Nothobranchius furzeri: one gene and its partner. The main gene of each other region encodes a partner of the protein of the gene in region 2 in a complex. Links are inferred from orthologs where the notes say so. Each region holds a gene or a part of one and is shown on either strand. Other genes may lie near its edges.

Evidence for each region.
Region 1: trappc11 (region 2) and trappc12 share a complex: the UniProt entries of both Homo sapiens proteins name them as parts of the multisubunit TRAPP (transport protein particle) complex. The link is inferred for Nothobranchius furzeri from reciprocal best matches to the Homo sapiens genes TRAPPC11 and TRAPPC12.

What each region holds. Positions count from the first base shown.
Region 1 is NC_091758.1:44,404,831-44,409,027, forward strand, and holds the start of trappc12 (trafficking protein particle complex subunit 12), read left to right. Parts: upstream 1-1,397; 5' UTR 1,398-1,459; intron 1,460-1,718; exon of another isoform or gene 1,719-1,872; intron 1,873-2,229; 5' UTR 2,230-2,236; coding exon 2,237-3,538; intron 3,539-4,113; coding exon 4,114-4,197. Other genes in the region: eipr1 (EARP-interacting protein homolog), read right to left, coding at 889-972, 1,083-1,124. UniProt on the Homo sapiens protein: Component of the TRAPP complex, which is involved in endoplasmic reticulum to Golgi apparatus trafficking at a very early stage.
Region 2 is NC_091741.1:109,667,483-109,670,066, reverse strand, and holds the end of trappc11 (trafficking protein particle complex subunit 11), read right to left. Parts: intron 2,584-2,584; coding exon 2,450-2,583; intron 1,477-2,449; coding exon 1,309-1,476; intron 1,226-1,308; coding exon 1,181-1,225; 3' UTR 501-1,180; downstream 1-500. Other genes in the region: spdl1 (protein Spindly), read right to left, coding at 181-312. UniProt on the Homo sapiens protein: Involved in endoplasmic reticulum to Golgi apparatus trafficking at a very early stage.

The DNA of each region.
Region 1 (4,197 bases), on a different chromosome or scaffold from region 2:
AGTGATCTGTATTCTTCAGTTGATTCCAAACTCCATGCATGGTGTTCTTATTGGGGGAAAGCATTTAGGTGACTGTGTCTGACTAGAAAAGCACCTGAAACTAGAAAAACATTCATGTGTTCACCTGACTCTAGTAGGTTTGGGTCATATCTAATTTTCTCTGGTAATACATATCATAATATGTTGGATTAAACAAACTAAGTGTTTTATTGAGATGTGTCATCATACTGCAACGCACATAGTTTATTAGGGAAAGGAGAAATGTGCAGAGGGTTTGTGCAGAAATTGATACTACAATCAAACACAATGAAAGATAAAATATGCTCATTTTCCACAAGTACTTCTCTGCACAATATTTCTTATTTTATTTATTATATGCTCTGTTTGATTGTGCAAATTATTTACATTCATTATATGTTGATTTTATACTCTTGAGTTTTATTGGCGGGAAAAGAAGTAATCCTTCCATTGTACAGGAATACATGATTCCTTAATGTGCATATGAAAAAAAACTTTTAATTAATTTCAAGTTAAATGTTTACACAAATACATGCCACTAAATGCAAGCTGTACTTATGTTAAAAGTCAAATAATAATTTTACTGGTTCTAGATTGATTTCATCAAGCAATCTCTGTATTTTATGGATTTGAATATTAGGCCAGTCTTAGTTTATACAAAGACATTGTGTTCTATGTGGAGTTTTTATTAGGTTGTAATCAATAACCATCAATAATGATGACTGGTTTATATTATGTGCTGGTGAACAAAACTAAAATGAAAAAGGTGTACTACATGTGAATACACATACCAATAAAGTTTCAACGAAGGTATAGAACGTGTGCTTGAGATCAAACTGTATATGTTTAGAAGTGAACAAGTGTTCTTACCTGGTTGTCAAATTTAAGTGACTGTGTCCCCACGAGAAAGCGGATAGCATCAGTCTCAGCTGTTTGGGCAGTAAGTGCACGTGCCTGCAGAAAAACAAAACGTGACAGGAACATATTTAAATAATGAACCGCAGAAGAGAGCATAGCTGAGGAGAGTAATGAATGGAGTAACAAGAGAGGACTCCACAGCCTACCTGGAACTCCAGACCATAAATGACAGGAGCGTCGTCTTCCATTCTTCACTTTGTTTCAGCCTTCAGTTCTATCCTTTAAAATTAAAATAAAAAAATAAATAAAACACCCCGAAACCCTTTAAGTTGCTGTTTTTGTGAAACGTAGTAGTGTTAAAAACAAGAAACAGTAGCATCACTTCCGCGATTTAAAAAAATGCAAGAGAAAAGAACGTACACTCTGGTTGAAATACGTAACAGCGGATTTGAAACGTAAGGATGGGTTTGAAATTTACGTAAAAGGCCGTGAAGAATACCATATAGTCACATCCGGGCAATTGTACACTGTTTCCCTACGCGGCGCATGCGCATTGCTTTTTTGTTCGTCCAGCTGCAGTAAGGTAAGAGATTAGCGATTTTTAATGTTTGTATTTCTTCTTAAAATGTGTTGTTTGTTCTATTTTGACTATACGTGTGACGTGTCCCATTCGTTTTGAATTATTAGTAGTTATTTTTGTAGTGTGACAGCTGCTATTTTACGCCCTGTAACGCCACACAGCTACGTAGCATTAGCATCATAGCCTCCTAGCATCAAATAGCAGTCCTGAGCAACATAGCTTCATCTATGTCGCGTGAAATAGTAAAAATATTCAAACTCACCTTATCGCTGTAGCTGTGATACAATGTTAACGGTGCATGCGTGTAATTACAGGTGTTTGAAAGTAGTGACAGGAAGGGGATGCGTCCAACTTCCTGAAAATATGAAGCGCAATAAACAAAACGCAATTTTAACGATTTCATATCCAGACTTTGCGTATTCTAGTCAGGTAAACTGCCACTGCTCAAGTTATTCAGCAGACAGATACACACAGTTGAACGTTGCTGTCTAAGAAGGGAAAAAATAAGTGTTTTTATGTTATACGAGTTTATTCTAATCACATCCTCCCCTCAGTTAGTTTATTCAGAGTCACTCCTCACAACCACTATCAGAAACTTCAGACAGATTTCGAACATAGTAGACTGAATCAAGCAGTAACCAAAGTACACTTGAACATCATTTGTTGAAAAATAGAACACAATGCTGACCCTCAACCCAGAAATCAGTGTTTTGGAGATTCCAAATAAAACAATTCATCACTGACCTAACACATTTGTTGTTTTCTTTCATAAGCAGTAAGATGGATACAGGGGAGGGTAATGCCCAGCGGCCTATTACTTTGGGCATTACAGTGGAAGACTTCAGCAATGAAGCTTCTGTCCCGGAGACAGATACAACTAACACCATCCAGACCCCTCCCAAAGATGACATCCTGCTCCAACAGGACAGCATTGACCTGGGTGCAGGGGAATTCGTCACTCCACAAGAGGACAGCAGTGCCACACTTTCTGAGAGCCTGATGGATAGACTCAATGACCAGATGATGGAGAGTGTCATGATCTCTGACTCGCCCAATAACAGTGAGGAGGATGATGTGGGTCCTATTGACTCCTTCCTGGATGGTGGGCTGGAGGAGAATGGATCCTCAGGGAACAAAAAGGAAGAAAGTGAAATTGGACAGAATACAACTGAGATTAAAGTGCCAGTGGATCAAAAGGAGCAAGAATGTACCAAAGACGACATAAAAGAAGAGATTGACATAGAAGAGCAAATTCAAATAGTGGTTTCACCTCAGAGTGAAGCACATAGTCCTGTTGTTATCAAGAGTGAGGATCCAGAACATCAGTCACCCAAAGGGACTAGTCCTAAAGATGAGCCTGTGCCAGTGTGCACCATATTTAGCCAGGGCACACAGCCAAAGTCCCTGGCACCTGATGGCTTTCAGCCTACTCTGATCAAGTCCCCTAGTTTTACCACGGGGAGTGGTGGAGGCAGTGATGAAGCAGTGACTCCCAGTAAGATGACTGCCCCGCTGGTGTGCCAGCCCAGCCCAAGTCTTAGTAAGTTCTTTACTGATAACGGACAGGCCAATCCAGCCTCTGACTTCTTTGATTCCTTTACTGCCCCATCTTCCTTCATTTCCATCTCAAACCCTAACGCAGATGTGTCTCCCGCTTCCACCCCTGCACCCTTAAGCTTCACACCCGAGCACCAGCGCTCTTCTACTTCCTCCTCAATTTCCACCCCAGGAGGACTTTTGGACTCCGGAGCTCCTACGCCTGTCTCAGTGTTTGGCCCCACTGTCACTGAACCAACCACCAAGCCCCAATCTCCTATATCCCAAACTGTCCCATCTCTAAATCTCGCTAGTTCAACTCCTCAAGCACAGCCCTTTAACCAGCTCCAGGCTGTATTCTCGGGCACCGATGACCCATTTGCAACAGCACTGAGCTTAAGTGAGGTGGACAGGCGTCATGATGCCTGGCTGCCATGCGAGGAGACGAGGAAGATGTTAATCTCTGTTGCCACCCAGCAGTACGGCCCAGCATACGTAGACACCAACAGACTCACAATGCCTGGATTAAAGTTTGACAACCTGCAGGTAGGACTATCCCCAAGACAGCATGCAGTAATTTTACATGTTGCAAAAGGCCAGAGTGGCATGTTTGTCTGAAGAAACTCCTGAAATTTCACACGTCATCACATAAACCCTCTCTGTACCACCTTAAACAGCCACACACATCTGCCATAACAATCTGTTATCGTTTAAGTTGAATCAGTTGACTTTTTTGTCCAGTACAGTCTTTGGGGGCTGCTGAGAATGATCTTTATTTTCCCCTCACAATATGTTTGAATGCTTGTCTGAATAAATGAATAAAAATCAAGGTTTTTACTCAGTGAATTAGATCTATTTTACAGCTTTATTAAAAAAATATTCAGCAGTCTGCAGTTTTTGCTTTTTCCTCTTACAGCAAGATATTGTTTTTATTGATTTCCATTTTATATAATTTTATTCCTCCACTTTCATCTTCCCTTCAAAAGCTTGTTTTTACTTGATCTATTGACGTAAACATCTGTAGTTTGCTCTCAGGCTAACCCTGGTGTACAAATGTCAGCGTTCTTCAGTGTATGCTGCAGCTTTTTTACAACCCATGTTAAATATGTGATTTGATGCAGGGGGATGCTGTGAAAGACCTAATGGTTCGTTTCCTGGGAGAGCAGGCAGCCATGAAGCGCCAGGTTCTCACCGCCAGCTCAGTG
Region 2 (2,584 bases):
AAACGGCCGGAGTTAAAGATGGCAGATCAAGCGGCTCCGGTTTAACATAAGCTAATTCAGTTTGGTTAACATCAAACACCCGCGGCTTTAAACTAGTAAGTGCCTCTGAGCAAACGGGTACAAAGATGGTTTCGTTGATGTGTAACAAGTACGTGACAAAGATAAATCGAGTTTCTGTACCGTTTTACGCAGATGTCGCCGGTTGGAGCGCCTAGTTTTGAATTCCGTTTCCGTCCGTCCGTGAAATATCGCGATATCCTGATTCAAACGACACGTCTTCCGGTGAAATTTAGCTGCTCCTGATTGATCCATTGGCTGTCAGTCTGAAACAGCTACTCCAGATTGGTCCAAAGGTTATGCACGTCTGAGTATAGCTGCTCCTGATTGGTCCATCAGCTGCCGGTCTGAATACAGCTGGTTGTAAACAGTCTATGTTCTAAACACAAACAGCGCTCTCGACCGTTCCGGCTTAGTTTTAAAGAAAGTTTGACCAAGTGCCATAAAATTTGAATTTATTTTAATGTTTTAGTTTATTTACACACCTAGCAGAGAGAAACATTCACTTTAAAAAAAGGCAAATAAAATAATTAGCAGTATTTTCAGAGTGAAAAACAACCTGTCTAAATGTTTTTGTTCTGTATGTTACATGTGTAATGATTCATGATGATTGGATAGTGAATGATATTCTGTTCAGTATTCACAGCAATTATTTCCATACACGATCCTAACCTATGTCATTGTAAAACACAAAAAATGATCACACATGCAAAAAAAGATTCATTTTTGAACAAGTTTGCTTGAAGATAACCAGAGTAAAAAGCAGCAATCGAACAGCACCGTTGGACATGTTAGTGTGTTTGTTGGTAAAACACTCACATTTTTCAGTAAAAGTAAATGACCCATGTCTCATCCTGCAATGCAACAGTCTGATTTAGAAAAAGACAGTTTGATGACCTGCAGGATGCGTCAGCTTTACTGACTTCATCACACCATCGGCTCTTCACAGCTGAATCAGGTCATTTACAAGCTGCTGGTCATTTTATGTGATCACCTGTAATCATTGTGACTAAAATGTCATGTCAGAACATGATGCATTTTTACAGAAATGTAGACAGTTAGGGTAATTATGAACATACACCACGCTGCGCTCATTGTTTTAGCAGATACATTTTATTTCTCCTCACGCTGCAGCGATGGAAGTGTCGTCCAGCTGTCGACCCTGAGGCTGAACACAAACAAATCCAGCTTTAGTAAAAAAAAATTAGTCTTGTATTCCGTCTATCATGTGCATCCACCCAGAGCCGTTACCTTTACAAAGATGTGCTGAGGCAAGAAGCGTCTGAGAGCGAGGCTGTTAGAGTCAGGGCAGCGCGGCAGGCAGACGTTCAGCTGTGGGAGTGTTTGGTAACCCGCCATCAGGGGGTAATAATTATACAGCATCTGCTGCTGGGTCCCAGGGAGGATACGCAGACGCACCTGAGGATCAGAAAACATCACAGGCCTCATTTAGAAAGCTTGCTTGTGCACAAAACAGGGTCTGAAAACTGCAAGTTATTTTTTATGCTAACTTTGTGATTTATAAAGAAAAACTTGACAGGAAAATGTGTCAACTTTAAAGCTACAATGGCAAATCTGCAAAACAAGCTAGCTTAAAACAGTTTTTTCAATCCTCTTAACAACATTCTCACATAGTATAACAATAAATATTTTGTGGAGATTAAAAAATAATGTCAAAGAGGAAGCAAATGCATCCTTTTTCTGAATGAAAGACAAAGAGATATTCCACCCAACTTTGAAAATTTGAATGTTGATATTTCCGAGTTAGACAAGTGTGAAATAATAACTTTATTCTCCTGACACAGCTGTACTCCTTTAGCTTAGCATAAAACAGACTATGTGAATGGATCCAACTAGCAAAGTGAGTAAAAAAAAGTCCTGATCGCTCAGTCAGAAGTGATCCCATTTCTGCTTGGTGACCTGAATAATCAGACTGAATGTAAGTGAAAATAATTAGTAACATGAAGGAATCACAGACGCCATTTTAGACTTGGGACTACTTTATGACAAAGCAAAGCTGTAAGCCTCTGCTGAAAGGCAGCCCCAAAGACACATGCTTCTGTAAACACAGCTGCACATTTTGTTAGTGAACCGACATAAAATAAACACACACACACACACACACACACACACACACACACACACACACACACACACACACACACACACACACACACACACACACACAGTTTAGAGGCATAAAAGAAAATTTTTTAAGCTAGCCTACTTTACAAATTTGTAGCTTTAAATACTCTTTTCTATCAAAATTAGACTCAATATAGGTACCAGAAAAAGTATCGTCCAGGTACCAGCACTGGAAGCCAGGTATCAGGAAAGTACAAAAAGAAAATCTAAAGGTCCGTAACATTTGTTGGACTGATCCTGACTTCACCTGTTTGAGTCCAGAGAACATGAAGGCATCAGATGGTTCCACAGCGATCTCTACCTCCTGCACCAGGGCTGTTCTGTTCTCAATGTGGTAACGAACTGGAAAGGACTCTCTCACTCGCCCAAATGACGGTAAATC